Tamandua tetradactyla: one gene and its partner. The protein of the gene in region 1 purifies or fractionates together with the protein of each later gene. This does not show direct contact. Links are inferred from orthologs where the notes say so. Each region holds a gene or a part of one and is shown on either strand. Other genes may lie near its edges. The genes, in order: CAPN2 and AFG2B.

Evidence for each region.
Region 2: the proteins of CAPN2 (region 1) and AFG2B purify together in Homo sapiens (co-immunoprecipitation; 3 studies listed by BioGRID and IntAct, with this or other methods). This does not show direct contact. The link is inferred for Tamandua tetradactyla from reciprocal best matches to the Homo sapiens genes CAPN2 and AFG2B.

What each region holds. Positions count from the first base shown.
Region 1 is NC_135328.1:137,671,767-137,688,625, reverse strand, and holds the start of CAPN2 (calpain-2 catalytic subunit), read left to right. Parts: upstream 1-9,822; 5' UTR 9,823-9,977; coding exon 9,978-10,214; intron 10,215-14,682; coding exon 14,683-14,752; intron 14,753-16,859. UniProt on the Homo sapiens protein: Calcium-regulated non-lysosomal thiol-protease which catalyzes limited proteolysis of substrates involved in cytoskeletal remodeling and signal transduction. Proteolytically cleaves MYOC at 'Arg-226'.
Region 2 is NC_135340.1:59,647,301-59,663,488, forward strand, and holds the start of AFG2B (ATPase family gene 2 protein homolog B), read left to right. Parts: upstream 1-9,663; 5' UTR 9,664-9,697; coding exon 9,698-10,792; intron 10,793-15,450; coding exon 15,451-15,636; intron 15,637-16,188. UniProt on the Homo sapiens protein: ATP-dependent chaperone part of the 55LCC heterohexameric ATPase complex which is chromatin-associated and promotes replisome proteostasis to maintain replication fork progression and genome stability.

The DNA of each region.
Region 1 (16,859 bases):
GTGACCATGCTATATCAGACCTGCTTTTAATGACATTATTCTAAAATATTTTTCTTTCCAGGTGATGATCGAGAAGCTAATAAAAGTGCCAGGTTCCATAAAAGCAATACAACTTGCTATTTTCTGGGATTTTTGTATTTAACTTTTTTTTTTTAATGGAGTGTGCTGATGCCCCTATAATTTTGTTCAGATAACTGCAGAGCCTGGAAAAGCTGTTGCTGTTGTTGATACATGGCATACTGCTCTTGGTCTTTTTATATAAATATAAATATATGTATTGTTTGAATTTTTGGAAACTTTAGCTATGCTGTCAACTTTGGGAAAAGTATACCAGTTGTACCATGTTGAGCTGGCATTGTACAGAAATTAACAGCCATATTGGTCTAGAAACATTAAACTTACTTTTTTTCCACTTGTACAGAAGTAACACACTGTGTTAAATATGTAAGGGCTTATCAACATGGCTTTGATTATAGAAACTAATAAAGTATTCTCTAAATAATGAAAAAAATGATGGAGGTATTTTCATATTTATGTAGCCATGTATATTTTCTACTAACTTTGATACCTCACATTTATTTCACCCTATTTAATTGCCACTATAATTTAAACAACAACAACAAAAAATGCAATCCCAAAATGATTTTAGAACATGTGTTTGAATAGTAGTTTTCAGTTTGAAGAATAACAGTTGCAGATACTAGGTTGATAATCAATTATCTTAACTTTGAAAATATGTATATATTAGTTATAAGAGTTTTTAATTAAATACATAGACAATTTCTCAAATGACAGATTTTGATGGCAAAATACATAGAATATTTTTACTGTGCAAAAAAGTTATGTTTTGAACATTACAAATGAAAAGGTTTTATGATAAATTTTATAAATTAAGCTGGGTTTTTGGTTTGGTAAAGCTGTTGAAACACCATATACCAGAAATGGGTTGGCTTTTAACAATGGGGATTTATTAACTTACAATTTACAGTTCTTAGGCCATGGAAATGTCCAACTCACAGCATCAACAGGAGGATACCTGGACTCTGAAGACAGGCTGCCAGCATCGGGGGCTCCTCTGTCACATACTAAGGCACATGGCAGTGTCTGCTTTACCTTTTCTCCCCATTTCATTGCTCCAGTGGTTCAGCTTCTGGCTTCAGTGGCTCCGTTTCTCAACTTCTCTGGTGCTCTTCTCTGTGTGCTTCTCTTAATTTCATCTCTTTTAGCTTCTCTAAGAGAGATACTTTATCCTCTTATAAAAGACTCCAGCAAGAGGATGAAGACCCATCCTGAATGGGGCGGGTCACATCTCAATTAGAAATAACCTAATCAAAGATCCCACCTATAATATGTCTAACTCACAGGAACAGATTAAACAAACATGGCCTTTTCTGGTATACATATATATATTTTATGGTATATCATAGTTTCGACCTACTGCTCTGGGAGAAGTAGAGGAAACCCCAACTTAATGAAAAGATGTTTTCTAATTTCTGAATGGAACAGTTACAGCTAACTAAGATCTATAATAAAGAAAATGTCATGTTAAATATATATAAAAAAATTATACGGAGCATGGAACTAGTAAATGATTATAGCAAGAATAACAGGTTAATATATAAAAGCCAATTGCTTTCCTGTATACTAGCAATGAAAAATTGGAATTTGAAATTAAATAAAAAACACAATGCCAAAAAAAGAAACAAAAAGAAGAAATTCTTAAGTATAAATCTAACCAAATATGTACAAGATCTATATGAGGAAAACTACAAAACCTTAAGGAAAAAGTCAAAGATCTAAATAAATGGGGAGACATTCCATGTTCATGGATAGGAAAAGTCAATATTATGAAGATGCTAAGTCTTCCTGAATTGATTTATAGCTTCAATGAAATCCCAATCAGCATCCCAGCAAGTTATTTTGTGAATTTCAACAAAATGATTCTAAAGTTTATATGGAAAGGCAAAAGACCCAGAATATCCAACACAGTACTGAAGAAGAACAAAGTCAGAGACTAGCTTCAAAACTTACTATAAAGCTACAATGATCAAAACAGTGTGGCATTGGCAAAGAATAGCCAAATAGATTAACGACCAAACTGGAAAGCCCAGAAATAAACTGACACAAATACAAATATAGTCAACTGCACTGTGACAAAAGAGCAAAGGCAATTCAATGGAGATAGTCTTTTCAGCAAAGTTGTTAGAAAACTGAACATCTATATGCAAAAAAAAAAAAAAAATCTAGACCCAGACCTTACACCTCTCACAGAAGTTAACTCAAAATCATTCATAGAGCTAATGTAAAATGTGAAACCATAAAACTTCTATAAGATAACATAAGAGAAAATCTAGATGGCTTTCAGTTTGGGAATGATTTTTTTTTTTTTAGATACACACCAAAAGCAAGAAAAAAATTGATGTTGGACTTCATTAAAATTTGAAACTTCTGCTCTGCAAAGTACACACAAAGAAAAGAGAAGCTAGAGACTGGGAGAAAATATTTGTAGAATATATATCTGATAAAGGACTTCTGTAAAAAAAATATACAGAATTCTATATCTGACTTCCGGGCCAAGATGGTGGCTAAACAATGTGCGCATTTTAGTTCGTCCCCTAGAACAACTACCAAATAACCAGAAACAGTACAGAAAGCTCCTGGGGCCACGTCAGTGACCAGACACACAGCGTACCCCAGTATGGACTAGCTGGACTGGCTGCAAGCCCCCCCCAGAACCGTGAGCTTCCCAAGCTGTGCATGGCAGCCGGCGCCCCTCCCCCACAGACTGCTTCCGAGAGGGGAAAGGAAAGAGACTTTACCAGCAGCAGGGGCTGAGCCCAACCAAACATCAATTGTGGAATTAAGTAACAAATTCTGACAGCTAAAAATAGGCCCCCAGCTCAGGTGAACCTGGTCAAAGCTGAGGTTGCTCATTTTAGCCCCAGCGCCAAGGGGGCAGGGCTGACAAAAAAAGGAAAAAAAAGAAGGAAACAGGTTTTTGTGGCTGTGTTTCTACAAAGGCTTGACTGCCTTTGGATATAGAGGCAGGGCTCCTCAGGCTGCATCTGCCCCAGGCATAGGCAGAAACAAGCTCATTTGAGGCCTTGTCTGGAGCCTTTGCCTTCCGCAGGGGAGGGGTGAAGCCCAAGGAATCCCTCCCTCAAGGAATTCAGACCCCAGGGCTTGGTAATTTGAAGCCATTAAAACCAGCCTACAACCTCTCCTCTGTTTCCACCACACCTCCAGCAGGGAGAGTCTGCCAAAGTTAAAGGTGCCGCATCATCTTATGCTGGTGGGACCTGCAGGCAGACAAGTGCCACATACTGGGCAGGATAAGAAAAACAGAGCCCAGAGACTTCACAGGAAGGTCTTTCAACCTGCTGGGTCTCACCCTCAGAGAAAACTGATGCAGGTGACTCTTTCCTCCTGATAGGAGGCCAGTTTGGTCTGGGAAAATCTGGCTGGGGTCTATAACACCTAAGTAGACCCTCCTAAGTGTGTGTGGGGGGAAGGCACCATACAAGCAGGGCAAGAAACAAGAAAACAAGAACTGAAAAATTCTCCTCTGTTAAACAAAACTTATGCTAGAGGTCCAGATGAAGCAGAACTGAATGTCAAAGAACAGACAGACAACAAACTCACCCAACAAGAAAACCCTAGATAAAAGAAGTGAAAGCAATCTCCAGAATAAACTAACTAAGGCAATTAAATGCCTAGATGCCAGCAAAAAATAACAAATCACACTAGGAAAATGGAAGATATGGCCCAGTCAAAGAAACAAACCAACAATTCAAATGAGATACAGGAGCTGAAACATTTAATTCAGAATATATGAACAGACACGGAAAACCTCATCAAAAACCAAATCAATGAATTGAGGGAGGATATAAAGAAGGCAAGAAATGAATAAAAAGAAGAAATCGAAAGTCTGAAAAAACAAATCACAGAACTTATGGGAATGAAAGGCATGGTAGAAGAGATGAAAAAAACAATGGAAACCTACAATGGTAGATTTCAAGAGACAGAGGTTAGGATTAGTGAACTGGAGGATGGAACATCTGAAATCCAAAAAGAAACAGAAACTATAGGGAAAAGAATGGAAAAATATGAGCAGGGACTCAGGGAATTGAATAATATGAAGCGCACAAATATACATGTTGTGGGTGTCCCGGAAGGAGAAGAGAAGGGAAAAGGAGGAGAAAAACTAATGGAGGAAATTATCACTGAAAATTTCCGAACTCTTATGAAAGACTTAAAATTACAGATCCAAGAAGTGCAGGGTACCCCAAAGAGAATAGATCCAAATAGACATACTCCAAGACATTTACTAATCAGAATGTCAGACGTCAAAGAGAAAGAGAGAATCTTGAAAGCAGCAAGAGAAAAGCAATCCATCACATGCAAGGGAAACCCAATAAGATTATGTGTAACTCTCTCAGCAGAAACCATGGAGGCGAGAAGACAGTGGGATGATATATTTAAATTATTAAAAGAGAAAAACTGCCAACAAAGAATTCTATATCCAGCAAAACTGTCCTTCAAAAATGAGGGAGAAATTAAAACATTTTCAGACAAAAAATCACTGAGAGAATTTGTGACCAAGAGACCAGCTCTGCAAGAAATACTAAGGGGAACACTAGAGACAGATATGAAAAGACATAAGAGAGAGGTGTGGAGAAGAGTATAGAAAGGAAGACTATGAATAAAGGTAAAAAGAAGGAAAATTAGATATGACATATAAAATCCAGAAGGCAAAATAGTAGAAGAAAGTACTACCCATGCAGTAATAACACTGAATGTTAATGGATTAAACTCTCCAATCAAAAGCCTGGCAGAATGGATTACAAAACAGGACCCATCTATATGCTGTCTCTACTCAAAGGACACGAGGCCAAGGACACAAATGGACATTTACACACCAATGTTTATAGCAGCACTATTAACAATTACCAAGAGATGGAAACAGCCAAAATGTCCATCAACAGATGGGTGGCTAAACAAATTGTGGCATATACATACGATGGAATATTATGCAGCTGTAAGACAGAGTAAAGTTACGAATTACGTAACAATATGGATGGACCTTAAGGACATTATGCTGAGTGTGATTAGCCAAAAATGAAAGGTCAAATACTGTATGGTCTCACTGATATGAACTGACATTAGTGAATAAACTTGGAATATTTTGTTGGTAACAGAGACCATGAGGAGATAGAAATAGGGTAAGATATTGGGTAATTGGAGCTGAAGGGATACAGATTGTGCAACAGGACTGAATATAAAAACTCAGAAATGGACAGCACGATATTACCTAACTGTAATGCAATTATGTTAAAACACTGAATGAAGCTGAATGTGAGAATGATAGAGGGAGGAGGGCTGAGGCATAAATGAAATCACAAAGAAAGATAGATGATAGACTGAGGTGGTATAATCTGGGAATGCCTAGAGTGTATAATGATAGTGACTAAATGTACAAATTTTAAAAATGTTTTTGTATGAGGAAGAACAAAGGAATGTCATTACTGCAGGGTGCTGAAAATAGATGGTAATTAATATTTTAAAATTTCAACTTATGTGTGAGACTAAAGCAAAAAATGTTTATTTGGTGCAAAATTTATATTTTGATTAGTTCATCTCCTAATAAAACTTATGTAGATAGTTGGTTGAACAACCTAAGTACATGGAACCTTGGGTAGGATATGAGATGTTGGTTTGTCCAGAGTGATACCAAGATGAATCCTAGAGTGATTTGATCAGTGAGTGGAAAAGTATTTGCAAAGTCCCCTTCGGAGAATGGTGAGAACGGGGGAAAATTCAACCTCTCCAAGTTGAATTCTTGATATTCTCACAAGCAGTGTGGACAACCAAAGCTATAGGCTGAGCCCCCAGTCTTGGGGTTTGTTCATATGAAACTTAACCCCACAGGGGATAGGTCAAGCCTACTTAAAATTAGGCCTAAGAGTCACCCTCAAGAGAACCTCTTTTGTTGCTCAGATGTGGCCTCTCCAGCCAACACAACAAGCAAACTCACCACCCTACCCCTGATAGGTGGGACATGACTACCAGGGGTGGACCTTCCTGGCAACGTGGGACAGAAATACGAGAATGAGCTGGGACTCAGCATCAAGGGATTGAGAAAAACCCTAGAATGAGCTGAGACCCAGCATCAACAGACTGAGAAAATCCTCTTGACCAAAACGGGGAGGAGTGAAATGAGACAAATTGTCAATGGCTGAGAGATTCCAAACAGAGTCGAGAGGTTATCCTGGATGTTATTCTTACGCATTTTAAGTAGATATCACCTTGTTATCCAAGATGTAATGGAGAGGCTGGAGGGAACTGCCTGAAAATGTAGAGCTGTGTTCCAGTAGCCATGTTTCTTGATAATAATTGTATAATGATATAGCTTTCACAATGTGACTGTGTGATTGTGAAAACCCTGTATCTGATGCTCCTTTTATCTACCTTGTCAACAGATGAGTAGAACATATGGAATAAAAATAAATAATAGGGGGAACAAATGTTAAAATAAGTTCAGTTTGAAATGCTAGTGATCAATGAAAGGGAGGGGTAAGGGGTATGGTATGTAAAATTTTTTTTTTCTGTCTTCATTTTATTTTTCTGTTGTCCTTTTATATCTTTTTCTGAATTGATGCAAATGTTCTAAGAAATAACCATGATGATGAATATGCAACTATGTGATGATATTGTGAATTACTGATTATACATGTAGAATGGAATGAGCATATATTAGGAATGTGTTTCTTTCTTGTAATTTTTTTAATTAATAAAAAATTTTTTTTAAATATACAAAGAACTTGCGAAACTCAACAATAAGAAAACAAACAACTCACTTAAAAATGGGTAAAACATTTGAACAGACACCTCACCAAAAAAACATACAGTGGAAAATGAGCATTTGAAAAGATGTTCAATATCACGTCATTAGGGAATTAAAATTAAAACAACAATGACATGACACTACACACCTATTAGAATTACTAAAATTCTAAACACTGACAACACCAAATGTTGACAAAGATATGAAGCAACAGGAACTCTCATTCATTGCCGCTGTGAATGCAAAATGGTACAGCCACTTTGGAAGAGAGTTAGGCAGTTTCTTAAAAAACTTACCATATGACCCAGTAATTGCACTCATAGATATTTATCCAAATGAGTTGAAAACTTATATCCACACAAAAACCTGCACATGGATGTTTAAAAGCAGCTTTACTCATAATTGCCAAAAATAGGACGCAATCAAGATGCCCTTCCAAAGGTTAATGGATAATCAAAGTGTGATATATCCATACAATAGAATATTATTTAGCAATAAAAACAAATGAGCTATCAATCCACAAAAAGATGTGGAGGAAATTTAAATGTTTATTGCTAAGTGAAAGAATCCCATCTGAAAAAGGCTACATACAGTACAGTCCAACTATATGACATTCTGGAAAATGCAAAGCTATAAAGACAGTAAAAATATCTGTAGTTGCCAAGTGTTCAGGGAAAGGATAAGAAAGATGAGTAGGTGGAGCACAGGTGCATTTTAGGGTAGTGAAAACATTCTGTATGATACTGTAAAGGCAGATATATGACATGTACTTGTCAAAACCCATGGAACTATATGAGGCAAACCTAATGTAATGGACTAACGGACCTTAGTTAATAATAATGTATCAATATTGGTTCATCAGTTATAACAAATATACTACACTAATGCAAGATGTTGATGATAAGACAAAGTATGGAAAGCAAGAAGGCATATGGGAACTCTCCATACTTTCTGCTAAACTTAAATTTTCTGTAAACCTAAAACTACTCTAAAAAATAAAGCCTATTAAAAACATATGAAAACAAAAAAAATACAAGAAAACAAATAAAAAACATATATGAAGCAAAGGAATATTGAAATGGATGTTCAAATATACATGAGTGTACTTTTTCCCACAAAAGGGAGGGTAGTTCCATAATTGGGCAGAATTCATTTGCATGTCTTAAAAGGAGAATTATTTTACATTGCTACACTTATCTGCAACTAAGAATTTAAGATAATTAAAAAACAATGAAAGGATAGAATCAGATAATATGGAAGGAGATGTTCTAAACCAGAGTTTCTCAACATCAGCATTATTGATATTTTGGACCAAATAATTCTTTGCTATGGGGAACTGTCCTGGACAGTGTAAAATGTTTAGCAGCTTCTCTGACTTGTACCCAATAAAGAGCAGTAGTAACCCCAACCCCCTCAAGCCATGAAGCTATGACAATCAAAAAATGTCTCCAGACATTGTCAAATGTCCCTTGGGGTAGGGGTGGGAGGCAAAAATTACCCCCAGTTAGAACCATTGTTCTAGACAATGCAATTTTCCATTGAAACACAAATTCTTCCCTATATCCAGAAGAAGCAACCTTTTCCAATCCATACATCTTTAGCACATAACCCATTTCTCTCTGTGAGCTGACAGAATCGCATGCTGTCTCTCCCACAGAGCGGTTAAAGAAACAACTAGCATGGGCACTGTTCTAAGTGTCCTACCAAGGAGCAACTCAATGCTCAATGAATTCCTCCAACTATTATTGTTCTCATTTTAGAAATGGGGAAACCGAGCCACCGAAATGTTAGCTAACTTGCCCAAGAACAACACACAGCTACTAAATAGTAGAGTTGGGATTCAAACCCAGGTGGGCTGGCTTCAACATCTATGTTTTAACCACAGACTCACCTCCACCCCCACCTCCAACAGAGCCTGGCATGTAATAAGACGCTGAAAGATGCCTAATCAATGAAGGAATCAAGTTGCTAGCTTTGGAACTCTTTCCTAACCCTGAGCCTCCTAAGGCCGTCCCAGCTGGCCTGCCATTGCATAGCTAGATGCCCCAGAGTTAGAGGACCATGAAACCTCCTTGATTACAGTTCAAAATGAAAAACAAGCACCCTTGGTTAAATTTGAATTTCAGGTAAACAAGGAGTGGTCTTTATTATTATTATTATTTTTAGTATAAGTATTTTCTGTGCAATATTTAGGACATATATATATAAAGGGGGAATTTAATAAGTTACAAGTTTACAGTTCTAAAGAAGTGAAAATGTCCAAGTAAGGCGCCAACAAGAGGTTACCTACACTCAAGAAAGGTGGATTGGTCTGGAACACCTCTTTCAGCTGGGAAGTCACGTGGAGGACAATATTCTTAATACACAAAAGTATTCCTTGTTTATCTGAAATTCAAATTTAGCTAGGCATCCTGTATTTTTATTTGCCAAATATGGCAACTCCACTTGTGATATTATAGCTGATCAGTAACAGTGTAGCATCGCGACTTCTAGTCGTGCCCCGTTCACTTAACCTCTCTGATCCTCAGTTTTCTCATCTGTAAAATGAGGACAGTACAGTACCTTCTTCAAAGAGGTGTTGGGAGGATTAAATAAGGTAACATATATAGAGCCTAGAGCCAGTAGTACGGTGTCTGGCACAAAGCAGAGCCCAATTAATGGTAGCTAGTCTAATCCTAGCTCCCTAATTTCCTACTGACTCATAAGGTGTTTCCAGGATAGTTAACAATTATCCCAGCCTCGGGTTTCTCCCAGCCTTCCTCCCCGGAAAGTAGGAAGTTGGCAGCCGGGTCTTGGATTGAGCCGCAGTAGCCCAGCCCCGCCGCGCCCCTCGCGCCGCCCCGGGAGCGGCCGGCAGGTGGCAGCACAGGCCTCGCGTGCCGCGGTCCCCGGCCGGACCTCCCCAGGCCCCGGGGGGAGCCGCGTCCCGGGCCGCGCCGCCGAGCAGGCCGGGAGCGGCCGAGGCCACACCCAGGCCGGGCGGGGAGCGTTTCCCCTTCTGGGTGAATCATCTTCCGCAGCTGCCGCTCCCGCAGTCCCGTTGCAGCGCGCCCAGGCCTCGTCAGCGCCCCTGACCCGCGCAGGGAGCCAGACGCCCCCACCCTCGCTCCTTCTCGGGCCGGGGACCAGCGCCATGGCGGGAATCGCAGCCAAACTGGTGAAGGACCGGGAGGCGGCCGAGGGGCTGGGCTCCCACGAGAAAGCCATCAAGTACCTCAATCAGGACTACGAGGCACTGCGGGACGAGTGCCTGGAAGCCGGCGCGCTCTTTCAGGACCCCTCCTTCCCGGCCATCGCGTCTTCCCTGGGCTTCAAGGAGCTGGGACCCTACTCCAGCAAGACGCAGGGCATCGTGTGGAAGAGGCCCACGGTAGGAGCGCGGGCGCGGCCGGGTGCAGGGCGGGGAGGGGGCCCGGGCCCCCCGGTGCCAGGAGCACCCCGCGGTGTGGACGGAAAGCAGCACCGGGGAAAGTCGCAAACCAGAGTGAGCCTTCCGGCTGACTCGCCCCGGGCTGCCTCCATCCCGTTACCCTGGGCCCCGAGGGTAGCCTGGATCTCCGGCGCTCTGCGGTCCTCAGAGGGGTTTGGCTCCCTCTTCCACTCCCAACACCCAGGACGGGTCGTGTCGAGGTGGGTCTCTGTCCTCAAATCCCATTGCAGGTCTGCTAGGGGAGCCACCTTTGAACTTTGACACAAGGGGGGAGATAAGTTTTATTGGACCCTGGTGGGAAGATGTTGGGAAGTGGGTTGGGGGGTTCGCAAGAGGCAGTCTCTGACAAAGTCAGTCTCTACCTCCGCTTATCTCTTCTTCAGGAGCAGGAAAAGTCCAGAGCCCACTTCGTTTTGTGACTAAGTATTGTGTCACACAGTTGAAGTGGTTAGATGTATCACTCAGAGTTTTATGTTCACTTTTCTAAATGGGATTTAGCAAAAACGGCCTGTAATGTTTAAATTGGTGATTAACAAAAGACTTGGGAGATGCTGCAAAGAGCAAGTTTATCATCCTTCCAGTGCCCCAGAAACCTCACCTGGAGAGCTTTTCCAGCCCTTACACCTGAATGTCCAGCCTCTTAATCTAGATGTCCATTTAGTTTCCCAAGAAACCCCTGCTAGCTCCTGCCCTCTCCTATAGGACATGTCACCAAGCTACCTCCACCATCCCTAAATGAGGCTTCCTGGGAAAGCCAACCTTTAGATTCCTAAAGGAATAAGCATCCCTGCCCTGCTTCTACTCCCCTGAGCCTCCCAGGTCACCCCACTGTTATATTCAGACAAGTCACCCAACAGTTGGAGATGCTTGTGGGACTTCTGAATGAGGATATAGAGATCTTGAGGGTTGTAATACGTTATGGATTGGGACCTCTTCATTTCAGGGCAGCTACTTAGAGTATGGCAGACTGTACTACACAGCTGAGGGGGAGGTGTAGCTGTTATTATTCTCATGAGGCAGTTGAAGGCGTTGAAGCTTCAGGTATACATGGTGGTACCAAGTTTCTAACCTGTGCGTGTTTTGAGCCCTCAACTTTACGGTTGCCCTCACTGCTTCTGTCTGTCCTACCACTGTCAGACTCCACTGTGGTCAGGCAAGAAAAAAGAAAACTTCCAGCTGGATGTGTCCATTACCAAGACTTTAGCAGAGCAATTTCAAGGGAAAGATGGCAGTAGAAGCCAGCTTGCATTAGGCGGAGGAGTAAATCTACTCCAGAGAAAGGTACTGGGAACAAGGGAAGAGAGACAGGAATGGGTAGAGCGGGGCCTAGGGTGGGAGAGGCTGGTATTTTCTTCACATGAAAGCACCTTATATGTGCTCTATATTGAGCCACCAGAGAAGAAGGAATTAAAGATAAAGAAGAAAGGAGGTAATCATGAGACAGGATCCCTGAGGAAATAGGAGTATAGGGTCCTTGGAGGACAGGGGTCTGTCTGGTCAGCCTTGGCGTGAATAGGGACTGCTCTTCCTCAAACAGAGGTTGGTTCTCCTGTGGGCAGGGCCAGAGGGCTAGAAGACAAAAGATTTTACAATATTGGCAAGAGAGGGCCTCCAGGAATGGGAAAAGGAATAAAGCAGAAAATGGCTGAAGTCACGGTGAGCTCCTAGGGCTGGTGCAGGAAGCATAGTAAGGAAAGAACTGTCATGATTGGAGGATGTCACCTCAGAAGCTCCCAGCTACAGACAGTCGGGTAAGAGCAAGGGCAGGTATTTCTATTCCCCATTCTTCCCCCTGAGGGAACCAAGCCTCTGAAGTATTCACAACTCACTTATTTTGCACTGGTTGAATTCAGCCTCAAACCAACATCTCCTGCCTCCAAGCTCAGGGATTATCATCATCAAATTTTTTCAAAATAATGCTGGTGGGAGGTAACATTTATAGAGTGCTTACCAAGGCATATTTACATATTTATTTCATAACCCTGAAAACCTCTGCAGTAGATATACTTGTCACCATCTCCATTCTACAGATGAGGAAACTAAAGCATAAAAAGCTAAGTTTCTTACCTAGCATCATAGAGCCCATCTGAAGTGAGTTTGAATCCAAAGCCCAAGCCCCCGACCTCTTTCCCCTGACTGTTACAGCCAGTGTTTAATGCAATGCCCTAATGCTGTGCACAAGTTTTGGCTTTCTGGATCATCTCTAAACACCACTCTGAAATTTGACTTTTTTGGAGAGACTGCCAGAGGCATGAGAAAGTTTCTGAAACATGATGGAAAAATCCTTCAGGGGAAGTGCTTGGCACATTGAGGATTATCAGTATGAGTGTCCATAATAAAGAGGCTCCTAGCACTAGGCAGCCAGATAAGTGCTCAGTTGGCAGGCCTCAGGCAATGCAGGTTTCTTTTGGCTCGCAGAAAAGCATTCTCATTGCCCCTGGCATTCCCCAAACAGATTGACCTGAGCAGGGATAGAGACAATGCAGAGGCATTAAAGGCATTTGCTCTGCAACTGAGTGTGGCTCACGAAGAGCCTCTACAATCCAAGCCAGCTTGGACAGGGCCTGCATCCAGCAGATCTCAACCAAGAAATTGGGACCGAGGCACCCGCATATGATGCTCAAACAGGCATGAGATGGAAGAGCAGCTTGTACAAACCAAGGTTGTCCAAGCCAAGAACAACCCAGATTCATGCCCCCAACTTCCTCTGTGGCTTTGGGGTGGAGCTCTTATGAATCAGGAAACACACTCAGAGAGCTACTGAAAGAGTCTGAGCCAGAAGTGTTCAAGGTTGGTTTCATCCAGCCACTTGTGGTACGGTCGTCCCTGGGGTTTTAGTGCCCTTGGAGTCCTGTTACTAATCAATTAGTGGCTGTGCAGATGTGAAGAGTGTGTCATCAGAGTAAGACCGGTGAATTCAAATCCCAGTACCAAGCACCATCTATCATAATGAGTTGTGTAACTTCAGAAAAACCTCTTTACCTCTTTGAACCCATTCCCTCATCTGTAAAATGGGGATAATACCCATCTTGTGTTCTTGGAAGAATTGCATTAGATAAAGCATCAAGCACAATATGTGAATCCAAAGCCCAAGCCTTCAACCCTTCCCCTGATTGCTACAGCCATGTTTAATTCAGTGCTGTATTACTGTGCAAAAGGGTCACTTTTCAGAAGCATCTCTAAGCACTACCTAACATATGGATGATCCAAGTATTATTGGGACATCCCATAAATCATGGAAGAATTCAGAAGGCTCCTAATGATACACTTCCATGCCCTCAAGAAATGTGTACGTGTTAGGAAGACAAGAGTAATACCCATGAACACCAAAAGACAATCTGCCATTAAGTGCTAAACTGCAGAGTACAAATACTGTGAGTATCAGAATCAAGGGGAGGGGTGTGGGGATAGATTACGAAGGAAGGCTTCATGGAGGAGGTGAGAGTGAGCCTTGAAATGTGGGAAGATAAGAGAAAGGAGAGAACAAGGCAGGAAAGGGAGGAGTTCCATGCAAGCAAAACAGCTGCAGCGTTATTCACAACAGGCCAAGTTTAAAACATCGTGACCATCGATGAATGGATGAATGGATGAATACAGCATGGTATATACATACAATAGAATATTATCTAGCTTTAAAAGGAAATGAAGTTCTGATCCGTGTACAACTGAATGAACTCAGAAAACATCATAGCCAGTGAAATAAGCCAGACACAAAAGGACAAATATTGATGAATTCACTTTTATGAGATATCTAGAATAAGCTAATCCATGAAGATAGAAGGTCAATTAGAGGTTACCAGGAGCTGGGAGGATGGAGGAATGGGGAGTTACTGCTTTATAGGTAGAGTTTCAGTTAGGGGTGATAAAAAAGTTTCTATAATGCACAGTGGTGGTGGTAGCACAACATTGTAAATGTTATTGTCACTAAAGTGCACTCTTAAAAATGGTGAAAATGGCAAATTTTATATTATATATATTTTACCATGTTTTTAAACACTTTGGTAAAATTGAGAAAAAAAATACTTGCATTCAAGGACAGAGGAGCGGGTACAAGCATGGCAGACAGGGTGGCTCCAGGTTATAGAGGGCCTTAGAGTCAGAGGAGACTGGGCTTGATGCTGCCACAGCCACCAGGAAATAGCAGGTGGATGTAGGCTCTAGGCAGTGGGAATGTGTGTGGTCGGTTACTGCTCTTCTCAGTCAGATGCGTCCACCACCCACACCCATTGGGACCCCCGGAGCAGGGTTCTGCCATGGCAGCAGAACAGGGGCTTCCCTTGAGGGAGACATTTCCCAGGGGGGAGGGAAAGGGGGAGAAGCGGTCCAAAGTACCTCTGGGGAACTGAGGCATCCAAAATGCAAATGTGCATGCACGGTGGACTAATAGGTCTGTTGGTCTCGTTCCCAGGAGATCTGCGATGACCCCCAGTTCATTGTTGAAGGAGCCACCCGTACAGACATCTGCCAAGGAGCCTTAGGTAAGTGGTGACATCCAGAGCAAGTTGTGGGGTTGGGTCTACAAGACCGGGGTGAAGGGAGTGACGGTGGCTTCTCTCCCTTTCAGAAGAAGCTTAGTGATTTCCATTTCCAGCTTTCTGAGCTCCTGGAATTTCTTGTCCCCAAAGGTAGCAGTTCTACCCCCAACCCCATGCCAAGCACACCAATGCATATGTACAGGATTGAGGGACTCCTGGGCCCCAGCACTGGGCTAGTTCCTGGGGTTACAAAGATGCTCCCCCGGAAGAATTGAGGAGCTCCTGATTTCAGCCACCAATTGGTCTCTGTATCCTCTGGAGCCAGTGTCACCAGGTGGCCTGTGAAATGGTCAGGGTCTGGGCCGAGGGCCGGGTGGGAGGACACCTCCAGGCCAGTAACAGGTTTAAGATACCAGTGCTCTGAGGTTCAGGGACAGGGGAAGGTGACTCAGTGTGAATGAAGAGAAGACCCTAATGCTCACTGCTGAGAGGAAGTCCAACTACCACAGAGTCTTCAGTGTTTGCAAGACAAGCTCACCATGGTTTCACAACAGTAGGAAGCGGTGTATTTCCTTGTAAAGGCAGTTGGAATGTTTAAGTAAAGCTAACTGGAGTAGCTGAGTGTGAAGGTCTACAACTTTGCTCTCTGAAGGTGAGTTCTGATGTGTTTTTCTGGATATAGTGCTGTCTGTGGATTTGAACCCATAGTCCTCCAACTTTAGTATGAAAGCTACCAAAGAAGTCCCAGTGGGGGCTGGGACTATTATTTAAAATTCTCATAGAATCCACCCTTGATTTATTTTTGTTGATGATAAATATGGGTCTGTAATTGCTTGAGCAGATTATTTGTTCTGGTAAACGAAAAACTTGTTTCCTGCCACCAGTTTCAGCTAGCTCCCCAAACGAGTTCATCTTGTAGTCCCTTTTCTCACTTACCTAGCGGAGATTCTAATACTCATAATAACAACTAATATCGATTGAACATTTACTATGTGCTGGAAATTAAACTGTACTTGAGAAAACGCTAAGGTTTTTTGATAATTCCCATTTTATAGATGAAGATTCCGGGGTCCTAGTAACTTGCTTAAGGTCCCCTGAAGTAGGGACCTGGTGTGCAGATGCATTCAGGCGGGTCCAGGGCTTGTGTGCTTAGCTCCTGAGCTAGACTCCTGAGAAGGAGGCCTGGAAAAGTTCTCACCCCCGAACGGATGTCAGGCAGCTATGTGAATCATTAGGACAGGTACATGGGAGCCCGGTAGGAAATTCCTCTGAGGGAGACCATGACGCAGGACTGGGCAGCAGAACCAAGCTGATTTAAGTTCAGTGCCCAGATTCCTGAGATGCCAGAGCACGTTCTCACCTGCAGAAAGCATGGCTCCCCATTTCCACCTTCTGTCTCCCATTTCCCCCTCTCCCTCCAAAAGAAAGAAGGCCAGGCGTCCCCAGGTGTCTAAGGTGGGTGCTCTGTGGAAATCCATTGTTTAGAGAAGAGGGAAGATAATGGGGCTGGAAGTTGATGGAAACGTCACCCAATCCTGGAGGGCTTTAGAGACTCCAGAGACAAATGTAGCAACTGCCACACCTGTAGTAAACACCACACCTGTACTAAATATCTACTTCAGAGCTTAACAACATCTTCAGAGCCAAATTGCAAGTAATGAATGCCTGATGTAAGTCTTGTTTAAATACTACCAGGCCATCCGGAGAGGAAACAAGCAAAGCTTACGTTCCTGGGGCGGATTTCCCTCCTTGTGCACCAAATCAAATAAAATAGGGTTAAATGTAAGCCTTTTGAAAGTTTCTCAGTAACGGGCCTGTAATTTTTAAGGTGTTTTATACCATGTCGGCCTTTTTTGTTCTCTTGGCCTTTTTATATCGGAGGATCCTGGTTAGATTACAGACTTGGAAATGCCGCTTACTGAACTCTCACCCCGACTGTGACCATCACCAAGTCCTAAGAGGACCAGAAGTTTCAGAGACAGGGGTGTGGCAGTGCCTCCAGCCCATGGAGCCAGAGATGCAAGCTCAGGCTCAGCTTTGTTGGTCAGCTTTGTCGGGAGACTTTGGGCAAGTCTTTTAACTTCCCAGCACTCAGTTTCTTCGAAAACTG
Region 2 (16,188 bases), on another chromosome or scaffold:
ATCCCTTGTCAAATTGGCAACTATACACATCACCTTAAATATTAAGGTGCAGAAAATTCTCTTCTGACTGTGAACCTGTGAATCTCAAAACAAGTTGTCTGGTGCCAGTATGCAAAGGAGGGACAGTCACAGGATCCATAGGGAGAAACTGGAAGGAAAACCTGCAGGGCAAACACCATTGGATTTCAAAGTCTGAAAATCATTTATCCTTCAGCTTTAGAAAGTGGCAGTCCCACCCTTTCTAACGGCCTACGCAGTGGCCTGCCTCTTTCCAAATCAACCTCAGGGGACATTGAGGAGACCACCTTTTTCTCGGCTCCACTCTCTCCAGGCATCAGGGCCACACCTGGGCTCTCCATTTCCGGGCACATGCTCAACCCCTCCATGTGGTGGCAGCCAGGCTCTCTCCAGTCCACAAGGAGTGTGCTGTACCTTCTCAAAGGCCTGAGGTGGCACAACTTTTCCACTGCAACGAGATGGGAGGCTCATCCTCTGCCCACAGGGCAAACTCACCCTCTCCATGTATATGGGTGGGTCTACTCTCCTGGCAGAGGTTTCTTGGCTTCAGACCCGAACTTCCATGATTCTCACTCTGCAAACTCCAGTTTGTTCCTTTGTGTCCCCCTTTGCCCAGATTGGCAGTGGTTCTGTTTACACAACAGTCTCTTCAAGCACCCCAGGACTTCTCCATCATTCTCATCACAGTTCCTCCAAAATCTTCCCCTTAGCCATCCAAAAAAACCCTCCCAACATATCTGGTATTTGCAAACTGCAGTAGCACCCCACTCTCCAGTACCAAAATCTGTTCTAGTTTTCTAGCTGCCAGAATGCAACACACCAGAGATGGACTGGCTTTTAATAAAAGGGGATTTATTTCACTAGTTCTTACGAGGAAAGGCAGCTAACTTTCAACTGAGGTTCTTTCTTACAGGAAGCCACAGGGTGTCCTCTGCTGGCCTTCTCTCCAGGCCTCTGGATTCCAACAACTTTCCCTGGGGTGATTTCTTTCTGCATCTCCAAAGGCCTGGGCTGAGCTGCGAGTGCTGAGATGAGGTATGCTGAGCTGCTTGGGCTGTGCTACGTTGTGCTCTCTCATTTAAGTACCAGCCAATTAAATCAAACATCATTCTTTGCAGCAGGCATGCCTCCTAGCCAACTGCAGATATATGAACAATAGATGAGGTTCATGTACCATTGGCTCATGTCCACAGCAACAGAACACCTGGCCAAGTTGACAACTGAATCTAACTACCACAGGTCCTACACTGAGCACTTTCTGCAGGGAATGCAACACTCTTGTATAGAACCCATCACTGTATATATATATACACACACACACACACACACACAATTTCAAAGTGATTTAATCTCATTTGATTGTCAACAGTCCAGGGATGTAGTGTCTTTTATGTAACTTAGCAAACAGGTTCTGACTCTCAGAGAATGTGGGGGGGCTCAGAAGATGGAGAATGCCAAAGTTGCACCAAAGCAGCAACAAAGCACAGAACAGCAGAGTGCAGCAGGCCATCCATTCCTATGTGGATTCTAAAAAGCTGGGCTTATTATTCATATAAAAGCTGGGCTCTTTTATATGAAACCAGAAATGTAATACAGGGTCATTTTGTTTCCTTAGATGGCCTCACTATATATTACATGAAACCATTACATTTGATCACCTGTATATCTTTACATTCACCAAATATACTTCATGTTCCTTGATAGCGAGCACACTTTGCATGTCATATCTAGCCTTTAAATCAGATCCGCTTCAAAGTCATCACTAAAAGCACTTTCTCTGTTTAGATTAAGAGGTGTTTGGACTGTTTTTTTGTTTTGTCTGGTTTTGTTAAACTAGCAAGGTAATATCCCATAGATCAGTCCCACAAAAATATTTCAAATATAATTAGGGGAACAATAGAAAATGGCTATATGATGATGACATAGAACATAATTTCTAGCCAAATAGTGGCAAATGTCTCTCAGAGAAATTATTGGCTTATTATTATTATTATTCATTAAAATAATACTGAAAATTTACCATGTACTATGTACTGGAAGTATGCCAAGTGCTTTATGTGAAATATTTAATCATCACAATATTGCAATATGCCCAGCATATAACAAACAGTAGGGGCTCAATAAATATTTGAGTAAATGAACCTATAAGGTAGGTATTACTTTTACCCCCATTTTACAAGTGAGGAAAATTAGGTTCCAACTTTTTAAGTTTTGCCTAAGGTCACATAGCTATTAAATAACTAGTAGACTTGGTCTGCAAACCCAAATTTGGTTATAGTATAGTATCGTGTAGTGGTTCAGAGTGGGAACTTTGGAGCCAGCCAAACTGCCTAGTTCAAAATCCTGGCTCTGCTACTTACCAGCTGTGTGACCCTGGGGAAGTTACTTTTCTCTACCTCAGTTTCCTCATCTGTAAAACAGAAATAACAGTTCCAACCTCCCTCAGTTATTATGAGGATTAACTGAGATAATACATGTAAAGCACTTAGAACTGTGCCTGCTGATATATAAACTATTATTGTTTAGGAGAGCCTTACAATATATGCCAACAGAGCATTTTACTTTTCAAAAGAAACTTCCCATCTCCCTACTCCATATTAGTGACAGACCCTTCTGATAAGAAAAATTTAGAATTGCCATAGCCCAAACACTCCTAAAGAGAGGGGAGGAAAGATCAAAGATGATGGTGGAGTTATACTGAGAAGATAGAATTTAACAAATGAATATGAATGCTGAATCATTAAATTGGTATCTCTTTTTGTCTCCACTGGTTCAGAACAATGTTAGTTGGGCGGGCCACAGTGGCTCAGCAGGCAAGAATGCTCGCCTGCCATGCCAGAGGACCTGGGTTCGATTCCCAGTGCCTGCCCATGTTAAAAAAAAAAAAGAAAGAAACAATGCTAGCCCACATTAGGAGACGGTAAAGTGAAAGATGACTAAGACATAGCATTAATGTGTAAAATCATGAGGGAACAGAGCAAACACAGATAGGAAAATAACTAACTCATTCAAGGCAGAATGAAGCCAACTAGTAAAAGGAGTGCAGATTACCTGAAGAAAAATACCAAAGGAAAAATGAATTAATTCTGGTTGGGCGTGTTTTTGGCCAAAATTCCAATCCACCAGCACTAGAGCATGTCAGGCACTGTATCATGGTTCTCAAACACACTGAGTTTACTCGAAGTCAGAAGAGTTTGGAGGTCTGGGAGTAGAAGGGCAACACAGAAATAACCCCAAGAAAATTCTGAAAAATGCCTAGGCATTCATGGCCACTCCCACACATTTTGTGTGTGTGTGTGGGGAAGCAGTGACCTTCATTTCACTAGACAAATGAACCATTCAGTACTAAGGACAATGTGATTATTCTAAAGAAACTTCTCTATCTGAGAGGATTCAGAATGTGTACCTTCCTCCCTTTGTTTTCAGTTTGCTGTTTTGGAACCTAGTAGATCAGTTTCTTTTGTGCAGTCAGCTCTCCATTTTTAAGCCAAAAGGTCACAAGATCTCTACTCTTTCTCTCTCAGAGCTTGGATTTTTCCAACAAGATGCTTCCAATTCATAAGACAAAATGGGGCAGCAAAGATATTTTCTGATCCCCTGCTGTGCTGGTTTGAAAGGAAGTATGCCCCCTACAAAAGCCATGTTTTAATCAAAATATCATTTCATAAAGGTAGAATAATCTCTATTCAATACTGTATGTTTGAAACTATAATCAGATCATCTCCCTGGATGATGGGATTTAGTCAAGAGTGGTTCTTAAACTGGATTAGGGGACGACATGTCTCCACCCATTTGGGTGGGTCTTGATTGGTTTATTGGAATCCTATAAAAGAGGAAATATTTTGGAGAATGAGAGATAGCAGAGAATGCTACAGCACCATGAAGCAGAGAGTCCACCAGCCAGCGACCTTTGGAGATGAAGAAGGAAAACTCCTCCCGGGGAGCTTCATGAAACTGAAAGCCAGGAGAGAAAGTTAGTAGATGATGCTATGTCCGCCATATGCCCTTCGAGCTGAGAGAGAAGCCCTGACTGTGTTCGCCATGTGCCTTCTCACTTGAGAGAGAAACCCTGAACTTCATCGGCCTTCTTGAACCAAGGTATCTTTTCCTGGAAGCCTTTGATTGGACACTTCTATAGACTTTTTTTAATTGGGACATTTTCTCGGCCTTAGAACTGTAAACCAGCAACTTATTAAATTCCCCTTCTTAAAAGCTGTTCCGTTTCTGGTATATTGCATTCCAGCAGCTTGCAAATTAGAACACCTGCCTATCTTTATGCCTTAGAAATTAGAAATTAAAGATTTCATTCCATTCTTAGAAGGAGTATAACAAAGCACTAGGAGGAAAATTTTGATGAAGTCACCTGTGAAATCACTATGAATAAACCATCTTTAGATGTTGTTTTCCCAATTCCTGTAGCTGGCTTTTTTTTTTTTTTGGCATGTTTTAGATTCTTAGGCTGCTTAAAGCAAATTCCATGAAGTGGTTTGCCTTGAACAGTAGGAATTTATTAGCTTACAGTTTTGAAGCAAGAAAATGTCCATATCAAGATATCATCAAAGTGATGCTTTCTTCCTGAAGATTGGCTACCAGTGATCCTTGGTCCTCAGCCACATGGCAAGGTTCATGGCGGCATCTGCTGGTCTCTGCCTTCTTTTCCAGGTTTCATTGCTTTCAGCTTCTTGCTTCTGTGATGTTCTCTTTCTGTATTCATTCCATTTATAAAGGATTCCAGTAATAGGATTAAGTTCCATCCTGAATCATGTGGGCCACAATTAACTGAAGCAGTCTGATCAACAGGTACTACTTACAATATGTTTACATCCACAGGAATGGACTAAATTTAAGAACATGGTTTTCTGGGGTACAGACTGCTTCAAATCACCATAGATGGTGCTTTCCCAATTTCTGTAGGCTGGCCTTTTTTTTTGGTTTAGTCACAAAGATTAGATCATATGCAGACAATATTAGGTCAATTCTTAGACAAGTCTGAGTGTTTGAGAGCTCTAGGATTCGTTAGGGTAGACTAAATTTCTCAGTTCTAATAGACCTCAGATATAATACCCAAACTGATCAAAGTATAATAGTTTTCTGGCTGGATTAATATAGTGGCTAAATGGATGGAGTTTAGTTTGGAGGCTACTACAATAATCCATGAAAACTGGTAAGTATTCCTAACTGATAGCAGGAATAGAAAAGGGGGGGATGGATGTTTTTAGGTAAGCCTATAGCACATGGATTTCCAATTACATATTATAATCAACCCTAAAATACAGCATTTGAATGTTAACAATAATTATGGAGGCAATCCTGAATTGTAACAAACTCTTAAAATGCTTTATCTAGTCAAAATTAAGTGTGCAAAAAAAAAAGTGTGCAAAAGAGGGAAGGTTCAATGATAGAAATGGCAGGAAGGGCTGGTCTTAGTCAGGAGTAGGGACACTTCCTTGAGTTCTATTCAGTATCTAGTAAATCAGGGTAGAAAAAGATATAAATACACACACAGTATGAATCACCAGACTGTAGTCCCTAAAATCAATAAAAAACTCAATTCAACAAGTATTTATTGAGTACCAACTACATGCCAGCATACTATTAAATTCTTAAGTATACCACAGATATATATACTTTTTGAGTTAGCTCCCAAATGTAAACAATTTACTAACTCAGAATAACACAATTAGAAAAAAAAAATTAGAAAGTAAGCGCCAAAAGTATGGTAAAGACAAAACTGTCCTCTTTTAATATCTTAAACACAGAAAACATATGTCAACTTCAGAGCATTAGCACAGGTTTTTCTGGTGCCTGATACACTCTTCTAGCCCTCTATATGAAACCCCTGACCCCCAGTCTTCTGCTTTGCTTGCTAAGCATCCTTTAGCCTCAGCTTAAATGTTGCTTTTTCAGAGAAGCCTTCCTGACTTCCCCATCTAAAGTAGTCTTTTTCTGTTTATTTCCTTTCTTTCATCTAATTATCTGGTTTAGTCACATATTTATTCCTTTAAAGTCTGAGTTCCCCACTAGACCATAAACTTTGAGAAGGCAAAGATATGTTTTTGTTTTTTGTTTTCACCACCAAATATTTAGCCTCAGGTACAGTAATTAGCACAATGTAGATGTGCAATAAATATCTGTTGAATAAATTTATGGATTTTATATTTTTATTAGTTGAACAGTTTGAACTAACATCATGGGGAAAAATTATCTTCAAGATTTAACTTTCAAAAAATAATGAATGAAGCAAACAATATCCTGAAAATCTGAAGAATGGCGTTTTGGAATGGTGTTCTGTGAACAATTGCCAGAATGGGGGCATAGTCCAAAAAAAGTTTCTCTTGGTTCTAATCACACCCCCACCCCCACCCCTTACCCTGCGTCTGTATCTTTTAAAGAATAATTGTAGCCTGCATACATGAGCCTCTGCCACTAAAAATTGAAATTTTTAAAGAACAATTTTAACAATATCCTATATGGGGATGTTGTTAAATATATGGGGAAGGCTTTCATTACATAATTTAAAATGACAAAACTTGTTTGGCATATTAGGTGTCTGTGGAAATAAGTCACTTGCTATATCTACATGGAGATTTTGAAATGAAAATTTACAAATTATGCATTTTCAAGTGTGGTTAAATGAATAACTATATCTGTTACAGCTCATAATCATTGCTAATACTCAAATATATTAGGATTGCATACAACATAAACTGGAAACACAAGAAATATTGGCATTCACTAATCTATAGGTGGCTCATGCTACTGGCTCAACCAAGCATTTACTTTAGAGTTTTCAAAATTAGTATGTATTTCATATTCTGAAAAATAATATTTTGTAGATAATATTATTGATGCTGAAAGTACCAAAATATTGTATAATTATTATTCTAAAAAGAGAAATAAGTTCCAATTATTTCTTTTGCATTCTAAAAATATTGTTAAAAAGAAAACTCACTGTTAATCTAATATTAGGCAGACTGTAACCTTGAACGTAGCAACTGAAATCAAAACAAACTATTTATTAAATGCATCTCTTGAGGAAAAATTTCACAAAAGGTAGTATGTTTAGCGGGGCACTCTGAAACAATTCAAAGCTAGAACTGTTTCTAGGGTGTAGCAAGATGAACTTGGCTTATTTGGATTTTGATCTACCACTAAATTTTGCATTTATGGAAAGTCTCATTTTGATATTTAAAAAAATTAAATTTTAACTTGGAAACTGAGTTCTGGTCTGATGTATACAAAATTATGTTAAAATTAGTAAATTATGTTAAAATTAGTAACAGTATATAGAGACAACATGACTGTTTCATATACCAGGGTATGAGTCTTGGGAAAATCTAAGCCACTTAATCCTAACTCATACTTCAAACTCAACAACCTTGTACCCTTCAGGCTTATTTGGTTCTGGACTCCCTCTACTGTTCAACCTTTTGACGCTTTAATTGGTACTCTATAATTCAAAGAATTACCAACTTTGGGGTTATATTAAAAACAACCATAAGAACCACATAACCCCGATTTTCCACATGGAGAAGATGATGTCATTGAATGATATGAAAATTATGGATGTTAAAATGGTTGAAATAATAGTGTTGCAAATAGTCTGACCAAAAAGGAACAGAATGAATTCCGCTGGTTAACTGGAAAAGTCAGTTATAATAAGAGTTCTGCTGGGAGTGAGTGGGTAAGAGTTGAAGGGCCAGGAACAGGAATCCTGATTGCTTCCGCTTGCAACTTAAGATGAGGGCTGAGCCTTATAAGGAGAGGGTGAAGTAAATGTTTCCTGGGGACATGGGTCCTACAGGGTCAGAAAATTCCAGTTTGACCTCATGTAAAGTCAAACTCTAGACCAACCAAAACAACAAGTAATTTCCTCATCATTATGTCACTAAAATTGCAGCCTCTACTCTCAACTGCTTTAAAGCAATGCAGAAAATGCTATGACTTATTTAACTTTATTTGCATCCTTTTTTATCAGTTGGCTTTGATTATGCCTCTTTGACTATATCTTACAAGAAAATCTTGGACCTCTTCCACATGACCATACTCAAACTATGAAGACAAAGTCTCTTAAGTTTACTCCATGAAACTTTCACCTCCTGGTCAATTATGCACTATAGATATAAACAAAATCTACCAACTCTTTCACATGACAACCTTTTACACATTTAGGACAGTTATCATATTAAGTCTCCTCTCCTTTTCTAGATCCTCGGAGCTTCTGGAACCTAAAATAAAAGTGACCTCCATGAGCAGAAGTACAGACATCAGTATAGGAAAACTTGATGTATACTTCACTGACACTTTCAGGAATGAGTAAAAATAATGGCTTATTTCAGAAGACAGTAAGATTAAGAGAAGGATGAAAATAGGAAGTAATGTGGGTTTACCCATTTCAGGACCTCTTCCTGCTGCTGTTACTTTCTGATTTCTTTAAGTTGCTCCGGCACTGGATTTGAAAAGGTACAGAAGAGACTGATCAAATTATTGCGGAATCCAGAAGTTATGTCATAGCGTCTGCCCTGAAGTTTGGACAGAATGAGACCAGGAAAGGCACTGATTTTAAGACCACCAAATCTGACAATACTTTCCATTGAGAGCACTGTTATACAGTCTGCAATAGCTTATTTGCATAGATAGGGAGGTAAAAATAAACATCCCAGTGATGTTAAGCACTCTATTTGCAACTTCAATTTTGATCTTCTCATAAACCATACAAAGATGTGAATAGAATAAAAGCAAGGCATATTTTCTTGACTTCGATATCTGCAGTTCTTTTTGATGAGCACAGATAGAAGGGATAGGAAATGTATTCCATTATTATGAAAAAATAATTCCCTGTGGGGAGGGAAGAAATATGAAAAGCACATGGAAAAATAACAGGCAGTAGTTTTAATGGCGTAGATAGGCCTCGCCTCTGATACAGGACTTACTACTGCTATGCCCCAAATAGAAAGTAAGCACTTATCTCATGAACAGAAGAGGTTGTGATTACCTATCCTTTGTTTTTGTCAAAGAACATTCAAAGAAGGGAATCTCGAATCAGAGTAAAATGTGTTGGACTGCCACAAATATAACCGCTGTCCTAGTTTTCCTTCTTTCCCCTCTCCAAGGGATTTAAAATGCCACAAAGTGTCTCTTTTTCAATGCTGACGCTTTTCTAGAGGAAGGCCGCGCGTCAATCTCATAGACAGGTTGGGATCCTGATTATCGAAGGCGTCAAGTCTGTATTCTCAGCTATCTCAAGTCTCTGAAGATATTAGCATGAAAGCACCCAACAATACTGTGCCCGTAAGCTGACACTCCAAAAGTGGAAGTTCTTGCTAGACCAAGGAAAGAGTATGCACCCAAACCGCCCAGGTACATGCTTAATGAGCTGATCAAGGTAAGCTTACGCTGCCTCGTAAACATCAGCAGCGAAGATCATCTCTCTAAACTCTGGGAGGGGCGACTCGGTTTGATCAATGCGGACAGCGCAACAACCTTAAACCTAGGGCCGGAGCTCCATCTAACTTTCCGACTGGCCCTTCCCGTCGCCACTCAGCAGCCTCCCTTAGCGCATGCGCGTCACCTAATTCCGGTGGGGAGCGGGGTGTGCCAGCTTTTCCAGTCCGGGTGGAATTCAGACTTTTTTTTTTTTTTTTTTTTTTAAACCTCGGCCTCTGCTCCTGCGCACACAATGGCTCCGGACTCCGGTTCCTTTCCAGAAGGGCCGCTTTTACGGCTGTTACCTTTAGAAGCTAAGGATCGGGGCACCCAGCGCTGTCGCCTGGGCCCGGCAGCCCTCCGTGCCTTGGGCGCACGCTTAGGGTCGGCGGTGAAGATCTCGCTTCCAGTCGGCGGCTCCTGTCTCTGTACAGTTTGGCCGCGACGCGACAGAGCGGACGGCTTTGTGCAGCTGGACCTGCAGTGTGCGAGCCCCGGGGCGGCAGGGGGGGCGTCGGGGACCTTGGGAACCTTAAGTCTGAGCCGCCTCCGCCTGGTGCCTTGCCCGCTCCTGCGGCGCCTCACCGTGTGGCCGGTGTTGCGCGACCGAACTGGCACGCCGGACGCCGCGAGTCCTGCCGACGTGCTGGAGGCCGCTCAGGAGCTGCTGAGGAACCGACCGGTCTCACGGGGCCACGTGGTGTCCGTGCCGCCGGGCGCACCCGGTCCTTTGGCCGCCCTGCACGTTGTCGGCGGGACACCCAGCCCGGATCCGGCCGGGCTGGTCACCCCTCGCACCCGCGTCGTCCTCAGCAGGGCGCCGCCGTCGGAATCCGAGCAGCGGCCGGAGGTGCCCCTGGGAGGCCTGTCCGAGGCGGCCGACTCACTCCGAGAGCTCCTTAGCCTGCCGCTCCGCTACCCTCGCACCCTGGCCGCCCTGGGTCTAGACGTGCCTCGCGGGGTGCTCCTGGCAGGCCCTCCTGGAGTGGGCAAGACCCAGTTGGTGCGGGCCGTGGCCCGGGAAACGGGCGCCGAGCTGCTGGCAGTGAGCGCTCCAACGCTTCAGGGCGCCCGGCCCGGGCAGACAGAAGAGAACGTGCGACGGGTCTTCCAGCGCGCCCAGGAGTTGGCCAGCTGCGGGCCCTGCCTCCTCTTTCTGGATGAGGTGGACGCCCTGTGCCCCCGACGGGGCGGCCCCTACGGGGCTCCGGAGAACCGCGTGGTAGCCCAGGTGTTGACGCTGCTGGACGGCATCAGTGGGGACCGAGAGGTGGTGGTTGTAGGAGCCACGAGCCGGCCAGACGCGCTAGACCCAGCCCTGCGGAGACCTGGGAGATTTGATCGAGAGGTGAACAGACCCGCCGGCTACCCCTTTGTCCCTGGAACTTTAGCCTCTGTTCCTGGTTGGCTGTCTCGAGGCGTTTCCCACTTAGATTTGGAAGTTACTGAAGTGGGACCGGGGCGCTTTTAATGCAGGAGACGTGTTTTCCGAGCCTATATCGTCTGTAAGCTAGGGCGTGTTTTCCCCCAGATTCATATTGTTCTGGGAAGCAAGGAGAGTTCACAAATACTCATGGTTTTTGTTGTAGAGATCTTGGAGATGAGCGCTATAGTCAATTATGTTAATTCTTAAGGGAACTAGGTCTGCCACGAGCATATTAAACTCATATGGAATTGAAATGAGAATTTAAAGCACAAGGATAGTCTCAAGTAATAAGTATATTGAAATAAAAATGGGGAGGGCAGTGGGGAAGTAAATGAAGTCTTTTGGATTTATTAATTCCTTCTCAAGAAGGAATTCTTGTCTCACCACAGAGAAAGTACCCACTGTTGCTCTGGAGTTGTCGAGAAATTGAGTATTCAAAGCTGACCTTTTAATAAGCTTTGGTCTTAAATTGATTCTTTCTTTCTCCATTGAACTTTTATTTGAATGTAATCTTTGGGACAATTTTCCAAAAGGGCCAGTATTTCTCAGTTTAATCTGAGGTCATAATAGCCCCTCAACGAAACAGTATTTGGAATTTCAGTTTCTCTCCTTTGTCATTGACTCACTGCCTCCCATCATCAATATTTATTGTTTATTTACAGTGAACAGGCACAGTAAAACATGCAAAAACATTGTCCCTGGTCTTAAGGAGCTTACCTTCTAAAAGGAAAAAGTACGGCTCTTTTAAAATTGTTTTTTTGTTTGATGTTTTCTGCAAGATACTGAAGAAATAGTCTATAGGGTGAGGTTTAAGTATAACTTATCTCTATCATTATTTGGAGAATAGAAGAAGGATTTAAAGGCAGACAATGACAAAAGATTTAAGGGAGGTAAACACAATCTCATCAGCTAAGGAGAGATTTGCTGTAGTAAACACATCAACTTAATACATTTAATTCTTAATGATTATGCTTGGGTTGTCCATGAAAATTTTGTAAGATATTAAACAAAGCTAGTCCTCATCAAGGTATTTCCCTGTAACTATTTTTACAGCACATGCATGTTAGGCAAGTATCAAAAAAAAAAAAAAATTCACAAAAGCAAAAAACCTTAAAAAAGTTAAGTACTTGGGCTTTTGGTTTTAATGGCTCTGCTTTATATACATGAAGTAATGGATGTCAAAGCAACTCATTTTTGCTGCATCATTACTTGTACGGTTCTTAGGTTGCCTGAAACATTTCATACAAATAAAATGAGCATAGCAAATAATAAATGAAATCAGAAAGAAAGACGATAAAAATTGAGATGATATAGTCTAGGAATACCTAGAGTGTATAATGATAGTGATTATTTTTATTTTATTTTTTTTAACTTTTTTAAATTAATTAAAGAAATTAACAAACAAAACATTAAGATATCATTCCATTCTACATGTACAATCAGTAATTCTTAATATCATCACAGTTGCATATTCATCATTTCTTAGAACATTTGCATAATGATAGTGATTAAATGTACTAATTTTAAAAATGTTTTCGCATGAGGAAGAACAAAGGAATGTCATTACTTCAGAGTGCTGAAAATAGATGGTAGTTAATATTTTAAAATTTCAACTTATGTGTGAGACTAAAGCTAAAAATGTTTATTTGGTACAAAATTTATATTTTGACTAGTGCATTTCCTAATATAACTTATGTAGATAACTTGATTGAACACCCTAAGTACTTAGAACCTTGGGTAGAACATGAGATTTTGTTGGTTTGTCTAGAGTGGTACCCCGATGAATCCCAGAGTGATTTGATCAGGGAGTGGAAAAGTATTCGCAAAGTCCCCTTCGGGGAATGGTGAAAACAGAGAAAAATTCAACTTCCCCAAGTTGAATTCTTGATAGTCTCACAAGCAGTGTGGACAACCAAAGCTATAGGCTGAGCCCCCAGTCTTGGGGTTTGTTCATATGAAACTTAACCCCACAAAGGATAGGTCAAGCCTACTTAAAATTAGGCCTAAGAGTCACCCCCAAGAGAGCCTCTTTTGTTGCTCAGATGTGGCCTCTCTCTCCAGCCAAAACAACAAGCAAACTCACCACCCTCCCCCTGTCTGCGTGGGACATGACTCCCAGGGGTGTGGACCTTCCTGGCAACGTGAAACAGAAATCCTAGAATGAGCTGAGACTCAGCGTCAAGGAATTGAGAAAACGTACTTGACCAAAAGGGGGAAAAGTGAAATGAGACAAAGTGTCAATGGCTGAGAGACTCCAAACAGAGTTGAGAGATTATCCTGGAGGTTATTCTTACGCATTAACCAGATATCACCTTGTTATTCAAGATGTAATGGAGAGGCTGGAGGGAACTGCCTGAAAATGTAGAGCTGTGTTCCAGTAGCCATGTTTCTTGAGGATGATTGAATAATGATATAGCTTTCACAATGTGACTGTGTGATTGTGAAAACCTTGTGTCTGATGCTCCTTTTATCTACCTTATCAACAGACGAGTAGAACATATGGAATAAAAATAAATAATAGGGAGAACAAATGTTAAAATAAATTTAGTTTGAAATGCTAGTGATCAATAAGAGGGAGGGGTAAGGGGTATGGTATGTATAAATTTTTTTTCTGTTTTCGTTTTATTTCTTTTTCTGAATAGATGCAAATGTTCCAAGAAATGATGCTGATAAATATGCAACTATGTAATGATATTGTGAATTATTATATATGTAGAACAGAATGATCAAAATAGGAATGTTTGCATTTTTAAAAAAATGAAAGCAAATAAGTAACTTTACAAATAATGGAATGTGAACCGATTCTGCCCTTCTCCAGAGTAAATTGGGTCACAACTTTCTCTAAAGGAATGCTTCCTGCAGCTGTAGTCAAAGGTATGCACATTGAGATTGTGGAGCCCACAGATATACATGGTTCAACATGTAATATTGATAGGGTGTCTGTTTCTACCACAGCTTTGAATGTGCTCCAAACTTGAAAGTACCCACAGTAGGTATACTTGTGATGGAACCAATTGTCCTTTTTATCCTCCAATGTGTAGGCAGTTTTAACAATTGGCAGACATTGTGAAGCCGCAATGTACCAAAAGTACCATGCCTAACATAACTTGTGTAACAATTCCACTTCCCAATATTGGCCACTTCAAGATGAAAACAGATAACTCTTTAAATGTTAACTGGCTCTACTCTCCTAATATTAAACGTAAAAACCACATGGGAAATACAGAAATTCAAGTAGAAGTAACATAAATATGTCATAAATTATAAAGAATTGTGGGATAGCAAGGGTGACAGTCAACTGTAAATTTTAAAATGAGACAGACAAAAGTTGAAATGCCGGTTCATTTTCCCTTCTACTTCAGCTTTGTCTCCTTGGGTATCCTATGTCTACATTGTGTTATGTTGTCTCTCAGTAATTACATTATTAGCATACTATCTTTGTATAATTCTTAATATGTCAAATTCAGCAATGGCTTCATCAAAAGCTGTCTTTGCAAGAGAGCAGGCTTTCTCCAGGGAGTTCATAATATCCTAAGAGAACACAGAATAGTTAAGGACAGGACCCAATCTGATAGGATGCATTGGTTGCATTTCCTTCTTGCTGATTTCAAATGCTTCTTGGTATATTTGTGAATGATCCGCCATCCCTTTCTTGCCATCAGCAGCAGAGTTGGCCAAGTAACAGTAATAGGCTCCTTTCATTTTTAAATAGAAAACTTAGCTTTCTGTTTGTGAGGCATTGCGGATCAAGAACTTTTGCAAAAACGACAGTGTATCATTGCAGATTTTACTTAGCTTGGTCTCAGTTTTCTCTATTTTTGAACCATATGCTGTTTTTTCTCAGCACTTGATGTCTTTTGCTCAATACCTGAGATGACCTTTCAAGATGACCTGCGAGCACCTACAACATTTTTATAAGCAAATGAAAGAAGATTTCTCTCTTAATTGGATAATTCAGCTCCTTGCTCAGTGACAGACTTCACGCAGGCTGCCCTGTCATCGTATAACTCAATCTCCTCAGCTAGTTTGGCCTTCTGCACCAGCTCTTTTTTATCCATGACTGATGTTCTGTGCCCAAAGTAGGTGGCAGTGGACTTTTCAGGCTCAGTAGTGTGTGGGCCCTAAAATGATTCTTGAATTCTGATAGTTTGAAATTCATTGGTTAGTTGAACTTTTTGGTAGGATGCTAAGCAGACTGATAACAATTGCACACTTTTAGTCTCACCTGATAAGACTTAAGTGGATTTCCTTGCATTATTTGGTACCTGTCTTCTGAATAAGTTCTTATTGGTCAGAGACCTAGACTATGTGATTTACTGTTCTATTTCTGTCTCCTAGAACATGGTAGGGTGTCATAAAGAATAAAAATTTGTTATATGATATATACTGTTTTCATTGTGCATGTTTTTAGTCAGTGTTAGTCCTTTGGAAAATTAATGCGTAGAGTCCTAATTTTTTGTATATTCAGAACCAAAGGTATCCTTAGATACTAAATTATTGCACACATTTGTGAGGATTAAAAAAATCTAATATTTTAATCTGTATCCATTTTAATTTTTCTGTTTTTGCTTTTCATGTAGGTTGTTATTGGCACTCCTACTCTTAAGCAAAGAAAGGAAATTCTGCAAGTGATTACCTCAAAGATGCCCACCTGCAGTCATGTTGATTTGGGCCTCCTTGCAGAAATGACAGTTGGCTATGTTGGTGCAGACCTGACAGCACTGTGTAGAGAGGCTGCCATGCACGCCATGCTTCATTGCAATAAGGTAAGAAATAATTGATTTATGACCTTTTGCCTACCTTGGTCTTTTTGTTCGTTTAACAGATTAATTTGAGGATTAGAAAAAAAGGGCAAGTACTTTTTCTTGGAAATTTTGATAGCTTCCACAGTCATTTCTTTTTTCTTTTTATTTTTTTGTGATCATTCCATTCTACATATATAATCCGTAATTCACAGTATCATCATGTAGTTGCATATTCATCATCATGATCATTTCTTAGAACATTTGCATCAATTCAGAAAAAGAAATAAGACAACAGAAAAAAATTCATACATACCATATCCCTTACCCCTCCCTTTCATTGATCACTAGTATTTCAATCTAAATTTATTTTAACATTTGGTCCCCCATTATTTATTTTTATTTCATTTGTTTTACTCGTCTGTTGATAAGGTAGATAAACGGAGCATCAGACACAAGGTTTTCACAATCACACAGTCACATTGTGAAAGCTATATCATTATACAGTCATCTTTAAGAAACATGGCTACTGGAACACAGCTCCACATTTTCAGGCATTTCCCTCCAGCCTCTCCA